2 linked regions of the Daphnia pulex genome follow. The protein of the gene in region 1 purifies or fractionates together with the protein of each later gene. This does not show direct contact. Links are inferred from orthologs where the notes say so. Each region holds a gene or a part of one and is shown in the gene's direction. Other genes may lie near its edges.

The links.
Region 2: the proteins of DDB1- and CUL4-associated factor 7 (region 1) and T-complex protein 1 subunit theta-like purify together in Homo sapiens (affinity purification with mass spectrometry; 3 studies listed by BioGRID and IntAct, with this or other methods). This does not show direct contact. The link is inferred for Daphnia pulex from reciprocal best matches to the Homo sapiens genes DCAF7 and CCT8.

The regions. Positions count from the first base shown.
Region 1 is NC_060025.1:4,763,501-4,768,314, forward strand, and holds DDB1- and CUL4-associated factor 7, read left to right. Parts: upstream 1-1,663; 5' UTR 1,664-1,863; coding exon 1,864-1,970; intron 1,971-2,057; coding exon 2,058-2,199; intron 2,200-2,261; coding exon 2,262-2,360; intron 2,361-2,422; coding exon 2,423-2,545; intron 2,546-2,610; coding exon 2,611-2,892; intron 2,893-2,960; coding exon 2,961-3,078; intron 3,079-3,188; coding exon 3,189-3,364; 3' UTR 3,365-3,591; downstream 3,592-4,814. Other genes in the region: uncharacterized protein LOC124202359, read right to left, coding at 3,689-3,886, 3,975-4,111, 4,255-4,376. UniProt on the Homo sapiens protein: Involved in craniofacial development. Acts upstream of the EDN1 pathway and is required for formation of the upper jaw equivalent, the palatoquadrate. The activity required for EDN1 pathway function differs between the first and second arches.
Region 2 is NC_060021.1:169,183-174,436, forward strand, and holds T-complex protein 1 subunit theta-like, read left to right. Parts: upstream 1-1,851; 5' UTR 1,852-2,001; coding exon 2,002-2,061; intron 2,062-2,314; coding exon 2,315-2,485; intron 2,486-2,542; coding exon 2,543-2,873; intron 2,874-2,936; coding exon 2,937-3,385; intron 3,386-3,446; coding exon 3,447-3,887; intron 3,888-3,967; coding exon 3,968-4,156; 3' UTR 4,157-4,298; downstream 4,299-5,254. Other genes in the region: ubiquitin conjugation factor E4 A-like, read right to left, coding at 1-423, 491-1,445; uncharacterized protein LOC124194916, read left to right, coding at 4,744-5,035, 5,100-5,254. UniProt on the Homo sapiens protein: Component of the chaperonin-containing T-complex (TRiC), a molecular chaperone complex that assists the folding of actin, tubulin and other proteins upon ATP hydrolysis.

The DNA.
Region 1 (4,814 bases):
TTACCAGATATAGAAAGTTTTAAATGCACAGAAAGAAGCTGAACAGTTCATTCATGGAAATCAAATTCAAAAGGGAGTCAGAGCCTCCAATTCTCAATATAGAAAATCTCTATTTTCAATTGAGTAATATTCCTGCCATTCCTAGTATTAAAGGCATTTGTGTTCAAAATTTATCGTCAGTTTCTTTTGGATACCATACTATCCAACAAGATGAAGATGGCTTCATATACCCATCGCTCAATCAATCTACAAATCCATACTTTGATTTTCCTACGGCGCTATCTCCAAGAAGAATTATTTTTACCGCCAAATCATTTGATTTACCAGTGGCTTCATAATCTATACCAATGTTGCTATCACACATGATTTCCATCGCGAATACAAATTGTTAATCCAAACCAACGATTTTGAAAAAACTTTTCCTGTGTTTACTTTCCACATTGCCATAGCAACATGTCCTTTAACAATAGCGCCAAACCGTTTTCCGTGTAAAAGAAGGAAATGTCTTGCGGCTGTGCGCGTCATTCCGATCATTCATTAACAATAATTATTTTTTTCCTGGAGCTAGCATTTGCTACATTGCAGACGTTTTTTAAAATATAAATTGATTAAATGAAAAGACGAGCGATTGGGGTCGTTACTGTAGTAGTAGGCCTTGTCGAGTGGCAAAATAATTCAACTGCGATTTCCATACATTTAATCCCACTAGATTGAGGGAGTTTTTTTTTTATGTATTATACTATGAGAAGTCTCATGTATGTGTACTAAATAATATGATACATTGGGACTGAGAGACAAGTTTACACATTTTCTTTCACATTTGCAACACCAACTCCAACCATAAGGCCAACAACTGTAAATCCTTGTGCTGCAATCCTGAGCCTCATCATTTTTTGTGACATTTGGGGTCTCCTAATGAATCAATTCAAACAATTACAGATTTAAAAAAAATATATTATGGTCAATAACCACACAACAATCAATTTGTAAAGTTATACCCATGACGAAAGGACCACAGGCCATATGTCAATGCAGCTGCAGTTGCTAGACACCCAATAGGAACAAAAGGATTTTCAGAAAATTTTCTGTTGAATTTTTCTTTGAATGTCTCCTGGTTCTTCAAACTTTCTGATCCAATTTCCTCTCTTAACTGAATCCAGTTTAATTCTTCAGCATTTAAAGACTCAATTTCATTGTTTATTTTGCTTGATGTTTCCATTTCTCTGTACACAATCAAAGAGGAATTGTTAATAGTGTAATATAAATTGTTGAAGCAATGTACACATAACTGATCATGAATGCCAAAATATTTTAGATTTCTAAATATTTTGATAATTCACCAATTCGGTCATGAGAAGTCGATTGTGTTTATTAAATTAAAAAGGAATAATAACATACGGAGTATGATGTTTCGTTCGTTCTATAGTATCGCAATTACTTTAAATCTAAAAGTATTAAGACCGAGACTGAAAAGTTGTCAAGAAATTCCGAGTTATTACATAACAATATTCACAAATTGTAGTTGCGACGTTACTACTTGAAGGTTGAACGGTTGAACGTTGAAGCACTGCAGCGATCGGTAGCAGACAATATTTAGCGGTGGTGGCGCTCTTCTTCAAAATATCGTATCTATTTTGCCTGTATTTGATTTTGACTCTGACTTTCGTTTCAGACTTCTACCGCTTGGTGTACAGCTTCAGTGTGAGAAAATTTAATGGTTGTCTTGTCTGGCCTAAGTTAATAGATAGGTTTATTTGTTTGCGTGGGTCCACTGTCATTCCGGTTAAAATTGCCAACATAAGAAATTCTAACACTTCTGCATATTTGATCACGATTCCCGGGAATTGTGTCGTTTTCTAAAAAATGGCGGGGCTAAATGTTGCTCCCAAACGAAAGGAAATTTACAAGTACGAAGCACCATGGACTCTTTACAGTATGAATTGGTCAGTGCGTCCAGATAAGAGATTCAGGTGAGGGAGGAAGTTTAAAATTATGTATTTTATGTTTAAGAAATGTAATATTCAACTTGACTAACCTCAAATTCCTTTACAAATTAGATTGGCTATTGGAAGTTTTGTAGAAGAATACAACAACAAAGTTCAAGTAATTTCATTAGATGAAGATTCAGCAGAATTCAGTGCCAAAAGTACTTTTGATCATCCATATCCTACTACAAAAATTATGTGGATTCCTGATGCGGTATGGAACTATCCTGTTTCAAATATGGTTAAAGAAATGTTAATAATTAAGTGTGTTATCAGAAAGGTGTTTTTCCTGATTTACTGGCTACAAGTGGGGACTATCTACGCATATGGAAAGCAGGAGAACCAGACACAAGATTAGAATGCCTCCTTAACAATGTAATTTTTACATGAATTATTATTATTTACAAGAAATTTAATTCATTGAAAACAATTTCTAGAACAAAAACTCAGACTTCTGTGCTCCTCTTACAAGTTTTGATTGGAATGAAGTTGAACCTAACCTTATTGGAACATCTAGTATTGACACCACATGTACCATATGGGGTTTGGAAACTGGACAGGTAAAGCAATATCTTTAAAACTTCTTTAAATCTTATTATTCTATAACAAACTATTTATCTTAAAGGTTGTTGGTCGAGTTGGTGGCCCTGGTGTAGCAGGACACGTAAAAACTCAGTTAATCGCACATGATAAAGAGGTCTATGATATCGCATTCAGCCGGGCAGGAGGCGGGCGAGATATGTTTGCATCTGTTGGCGCTGATGGCTCCGTGAGAATGTTTGACCTTAGACACCTAGAACATTCAACAATCATATATGAAGATCCTCAGCATCGTCCTCTGTTAAGACTAGCATGGAATAGACAGGACCCTTCTTATTTAGCAACGATATCCATGGATGCTTGTGAAGTATTTTCGGTTTTTCACCTCATTTCAAATAGAGAACACGTTACAAATTTCTTTGTTACAAATGTTAGGTGGTAATACTCGATGTAAGAGTGCCGTGTACTCCCGTCGCTCGTTTGAGTAATCACAGGGCATGTGTAAATGGCATCGCTTGGGCCCCACATTCTTCCTGTCATATTTGCACAGCTGGTAAATATTTTTTATTTGTAACTAGAATTGTGCAAGTACCGTGTGCACGATGTATGCTGCCAATTGCTGTATATAATTGATCCGATTTGATCTGGTTTGTAATAATTTAGGTGATGACCATCAAGCCTTGATATGGGATATCCAGCAAATGCCGCGAGCCATTGAAGATCCCATACTTGCTTACACAGCGGCTGAAGGTGAAATCAACCAAATCCAGTGGGGAGCAACACAACCTGATTGGATTGCCATTTGCTACAATCGATCCCTTGAAATTTTACGAGTTTAATGCTTTAATACCTATATATATCAAAACTGAGTATGACTAATGTCTGAAAACTTCTCATCAGGTTATCTTAGATCGTGTTTTTTTAATAATTCGTATCCTCTCGTGAATCGGATCGTTGATTTGTAATTAAAATAAGGAAAATATCATAAGAATGTGACATTTGAGATTTTGAATTTGTCTGTACTACTAAGCAAAAACTTGGAAAAGAATGACTGAATTTGAATCAACAACATTGTTTTATTAGCTTTCTATCACAGCACTCGGATTCTGTATAAGATCAGCAGGTATTAACATCATATATATTTTTATGTTTCTCTTTAAAATTCAATTTGAGACTGCTAAGTGGTTGGTTTGATTACTTGAAATGCTTTTGTAAGCTGTTGGATTCGAAAGTTGCATAGTTTCTCGTAGCCGCTCGTTAAGTAGTTGGTATCTCTCGCGAATCTGCATTTCGTGATTTTTCTCTTCACGTTCCAAAACCTTAAGGAAACTTGATAGTTCAGCCACTGTAAATTCCTCCCACTGAAATATAGAAAGAAGAAAAAATGGGTGCGCTTATAGTTTAGCGATGGAATATGTCGAAAATTAGAGCCCCGCAATGGTATTTTACCGGAATGTCTCCATTTTGGCTTTCTTGAAGGATTAGAGTTTTGGCACAGCTAGAGGCATCGAGATTGGTATCATCGGCCTGCCAATGTTGGGCAAGTAGAAGCGGACAATCGAAATCATTCAAGCGACGAAGTCGAGCTAAATAATAGCAAATACAACATGATTTGGTATTCTGGAATTTAGTACGATCGAGTCCGACTCGTTTGAGAGAGGGAAGGTAAAAAGTATGACGAAAGAAGGATTCAAACAGATAACGAACGAACGCAAGTATGACTACGTACCTCGACTGGTTTTTCCCGGTTGCCAGCTTTTTTCATAGATGGCCAGTTTTTTTGGTTCCCAACCTGAAAGATGAGGATGGGCTTCTACGATTTGTTGTACCAGTTCGATGCACGCAATATCTCTGAAACGGGGATAAGGAGTTACAAAAGCATGTGTAAGAACGTTGACTCTGTGGGCACCCTCGTTTTAAAATTCAAACTCCCCAAGGAAATCAATACAAAAAGGACCCTGAAAAACTAGAGGCTATGACGAGAATATTGATGGAGTCTAGTTCGATCCACCTACAAATGGTAAAGAAATCGATGCAGGAGTACAAAGAATTCGCGGAAATAGGAAGAAAATTTCAACCTATTCGAGGCAGGTGCCAATTGACTAGCGTAACGAAGTAGTTCACCTCAAGAAATCGTTCTCGATTTGACCAGATTCTGTAAAGCCTCGAGAACGTGACGCTCGTCTGAGCCGACGATGTGATGATTTAGATTTACAGTGTAGCTCCCCCTCTAGCCATTTTCTAGAGACCGGTTGTATCCGGTTTGATGAAAACCGGACATTGGTTACG
Region 2 (5,254 bases), on another chromosome or scaffold:
CGTCTTGGTAAGCTCTTTGAAGGCGATTGAAATTCTGGCTCATCTGCAGCATTTGACTGTGAACAGCTTTAGCGCCCAACTCCAGGGCCCGGTGGGTCATGTAAAACAGCTCAGTGGAAAATGAATAAGGAAGGCTTTTGGCTGCAGGTCGGTTCTCCTGCGTAATGAGGCACGTTTCCTTGTGCAGATCAGCAATGTGCACGCCATTGTCTTTGGTCTCTTTGGCGGTACAAAATGTCGCGTCAATTTTACTGAGACGATCGCAAGATTTCGGGTCGTCGGTAGAACAGAATGGCCGGCAGAGCTGAAGGAGCACAGCACCTAAATTGGTCATGAATCCGTCGGAAACGCAGTGGACCTGTGCTGTCATATCATGCTGGGCCCACATTTGCCCACGAGCCTTGTTTAACTCCAATACTTGCCCTAGAAAATCAACAAAAGAAAATTATTTCCACCTTTTTTAAGTTTTTTATTAAAAGGTTAAAATTACCCAGCCATTTTCGGGTGAGATTTTGAACTTCCGGTGAAGATTTAAACAAGTTATAGAATATTTTATAAACTTTGTCCATAATGCGCTCTGAGGCAGACCAAATGTTTCCTTCGGTGGTGGCGTGAACACCGGGCGGTGATCTTGAAGGTCGGTCGAAAAAGTCTGAAGGCGTTCCTGGGACGCGTGGAATGCAGGAGCACAAGAAGAGGGAACCCAGTAGAGTTTGCTCGCATTGCTTCCCAACTTTGCCTATGATATTTTCATTCAAAATTGAAATAGAAACCATGTCTTTCGCCAGCGTCGGTTGTTTGCTCAAGACCATCATGGCGTCCAATTCACTTTGATTTCCCATTAGCAGGTGCATGTTGGTCAGCTTGGTTTTTAAGCTGGCAAATAAAGGTAAAAACACCTCTGTAACACCGGCAGGATTTTCGGGTGCTAGAAGGTGTTGTACAAAACTGTCTAGAAATGTAGAGGTGTCTTCAGAGGAGAAGGCGAGCAGTTGAAGAAAATCTTCATGCAGATTTTGCTCAGGAAACAATTCTGGTTGAGAGAATGCCAAGTCCAGGTTGACAAAGATGGTTTTTCTTACATCATGAATCTCTGGCTCATCACCATGGGTAAGAGAGCGCTCATAACACTGGAATAGATAATTAACCAACGAATGCTGCAGTCCAACGGCATACTCGAGAACAGCTTGGTCCAGTGCTGTCTGATCGAAACATTCTTGATTTAAGGCTTTGGACAAGTCCTTCATATAGAATAATGTGGAATTTTTCATTTGCTGAGGTTTGAGTGTGAGCCTAAACACATTTTCAGCAAATTCATTGAACCTGCCATTCTCTTGCTTAGGAATATTGTGACAATCTTGTCTTGGTGCATCTGAAACCGACGTTACGTTAGGGTTTCCAACTTCTTTGCTGAATAATGCGAGGAAGGGATTGTTATCCGTCATTTTATACAGATTCTTGGTATTAGCGCCTGTTGCAATAACATTTGTTAAATTCCTTTCAAATACATAGGATTTTTCACAAGAAAATTTATACCGCAAATTTATCCAAGGTGTCTTAATATTTTTCAATTTGTGAAAATGATTAGCAATGCAAAAATATGTTTATTTTGTTTTCATTGATGTGATCAGCTGACTGACGTTTCCCAGATGTCTTCTGCTACGGTTTTCTCGAAATTTCTATTTTTTTCTTGCCAGTCACGAAAAAATGTAAAAACAAATAAGAAGGTTAATGAAAAAATTATTTTAAATAATAATTTTCTGTTTCAAATTTAGATAATAATCTTGGACATGAATAAAATGTATATTTTTCTTGAATTCTTTTTAAAAGCATGGGAAATCTGGTTGATTATTAGTCAACGTTGTTGAATCATACCATTCAGACGAAGCCATTGTCACCCGGTGTGAATCTGCACGTTGCTTCGACAGGGCAACTCCTTGATTCAACGTCTCTTTAATTATTTCCTTTAAATCAAGTCGCTGGAAACTTTAATTCTCAAAAATGGCGATGCACGTACCTAAACCACCCGGTTTCCAGCAAATGATGAAAGAGGGCTCGCGGGTAAGAACAATTTATACACTTTACCGATTCAACTGACGTTTCTCGTGACTGGTCGTCTTGGTGATGCCCGACGTGTGTCAAAAAATGAGTTTTTGAACTTTGCTTTATTAAGCGATGGAAGGAAACATTTATGTTAGAATGCCTGACTATGGGAACTAAGTAAAGCTGATGGAATTTTTTCCCAGACATCTTTTCGTTTATTTTCGTAATAATCTTAATTTGGTAATGAAAAACCCTGAATTCTTCCCCACAGATGTTTCAAGGTCTAGAAGAGGCTGTCATCAGGAACATCAGTGCTTGTAAGCAGCTAGCAGAAACTGTGCAGACAGCTTATGGTCCCATTGGCATGAACAAAATGGTTATCAATCACTTGGGAAAACTCTTTGTTACAAACGATGCAGCCACAATCATTAGGGAGCTTGACGTAAGAATATTTTTGGTTTCACAAAAGAATTTTTTTATAAAATACAATCTGGTTTAGGTGGAACATCCTGCTGCCAAGATGATGATTCTTGGTTCTCAAATGCAAGAACAAGAAGTTGGTGATGGAACAAATTTTGTCATCATCTTGGCTGGTGCCCTGCTGGAACAAGCTGAAGCTCTAATTCGTATGGGCCTGACTCCAAATGAAATCGCTGAAGGCTATGAGAAAGCTTTAGAAAAGGCCTTAGAAATTTTGCCTAATTTGGTGTGCCAGACTGTTGAGAATGTTCAAGATTCGGATGTCATTACAAAAGCCATTACAGCCGCTATCATGTCCAAGCAATATGGTAACGAGTCTTTCCTGACTCCGCTCATCACTGAAGCTTGTGGTACGTAAATGTAAAAGAATTATTCAACTTCAAATTGTAATGATTTATAAATTCTTAACGCAGTTTCAATCCTGCCGGACAAGAAAACGACATTCAACGTTGACAACGTGAGGGTTTCCAAAATCCTTGGTGGAAGCTTGTATCAATCGCAGGTCGTACAAGGAATGGTTTTCAAGCGTCAAGTAGAAGGAGACATCACTAAAGCTGAGAAAGCCAAAATTGCCGTCTACACTTGCCCCATTGACTCTGTCCAGACTGAGACCAAAGGAACAGTTTTGATCCAATCTTCCAAAGAGTTGATTGATTTCTCTCGTGGCGAGGAGAATATGCTGGAAAAAGAAATCGCTGCCATCGCAGCATCTGGCGTTAAAGTCATCGTCTCTGGTGGCAAGATTGGTGATCTCTGTCTGCATTACCTCAACAAATACGGTATTATGGGTGTCCGCCTCCAGTCCAAATTTGATCTTCGTCGACTATGCAAAGCCATCAACGCGACTGCCCTTCCACGTTTGGTAAATTAATCTTTTTAAATTCATTAAATTCATTGAATTCATTCATCTCTTTTGATTCAAGACCCCTCCGTCGGCCGAGGAAGTTGGTTACGCTGATCACATCTACACTGATGAGTTTGGAGACACCGCAGTCGTCATCTTCCGTCAAGACGAGAAAGAGTCTCGCATCGCCACCATTATTGTTCGTGGTGCTACCGACAACTTCCTCGACGACATTGAGCGAGCGATTGATGATGGAATCAACAACTTCAAGGTCTTGTCTAGAGACGGTCGACTTGTACCTGGAGCTGGAGCGGTGGAAGTCGAACTAGCCAGGCAAATTAACCAGTTTGCCGAAAAATGCCCTGGATTGGACCAGTACGCCATCCAAAGGTTCGCACAAGCTTTGGAAACTTTCCCACGGATCTTGTCTGATAACGCTGGACTCAAGACGACCGAGACCGTAGCCGCTTTGTTGGCTGCCCACCAGGAAGGCAAAGCTACTACTGGCATCTGTGTCGACGTAAGTTTTCTTTCATCAATTTTTGACAATTTAAATCGCATTTCGATATGATAAATTGTATTGCTAATTGGTTCATTAAGGATCAAGGCGGTTTGATTGATGCTGTTGAATCCGGCGTGGTCGACCTGTTTGCGGCTAAATACTGGGGTATGAAGTACGCCACTGCGGCAGCTTGCACTGTTCTTCGTGTCGATCAAATCATCATGGCGAAGAGAGCAGGTGGTCCGAAAGCACGTGATGCTGGTGCACAAGACGCCGATGATGATTAAACATTGAGTGAACAAGAAGTTTCTTTTTCTTTCTCGCATTCGCTGAGTTCCACAGTTGCATTGGGAAAATGCTATCTCCTTAAACACACTAACTACATTTTTGTCCACAGCTTTTGTCCGCAAAATACATTCATCAAAACTAGTTTCAGGTTTTTTTTCAATTATCGTGTTTGTTGGCTTAAGCAAATAAAAAAAAAAAATGCTGACTTGATTATTTGTTTTGAAATTTTAAAAACTTAATTTTTAATAATGTAAATTTGCAAGGTTGCAACGATATCAAAGTATAGAATCTCTACCACGATGAGCTCGATCTCAGCAGGACGTCAAAGTAAGTAGGCGACTTTGCATGGGTAATTTTTTGGATTGGATCGTAATTTCAATATCGTTAAATAGAAAATGAAATTTAATCATAAGCAAGTTTAATGACATGATTAATACAATATATTTTTTTAAAATTAATGTTTCGCTTTGCGGCTACTCTACAAGAAACCATGGAAACCAAGCAGACAAAGGTTTAAGGCTTCATTTGAAATTTTCTTACAATAGCTAAGGACGGTTTTTTTTTTCAACACAATTATTTTTAAAAAATGCCAAATACATGCTGCGTTCCAATGTGCACTTCCGGTTATCGAAGAAAGGGAATTGTTACCGAAAAAATTGCAATGTTCAGTACAAAAGACCCGAAAATGCAAAAGAAATGGATGAAATTCATTCCAAGGAAAAATTACGTAGTCAGTGCTAAGTCGCGGGTGTGTGCTCATCATTTTTCAGAATGTGATATAATCAAAGGGTATTTCATGCATGTTGGAGGAGAAAAAATATTCCAGGAACATAAAAATTGGAGACTTAAACCTGAGGCAATTCCAAAAATATTTCCAAGTTAGTATTGTTTATGTGTTATTACAATATCCACTTAAAAAAATTTAATTTGTTACTCTTTAAGATTGCCCGTCTCACATGACTAAAGTCGAAAGCAGTGGAAGAAAAAAGAAACTGGATGATATCAAGGAACCTTTCTCTAAGGAAATTAAAGTTAGCATGCAGCCTGAAGGAAAAACAGTTACTATTGTGACAACGACTGTAAGGCCTACAGATTTT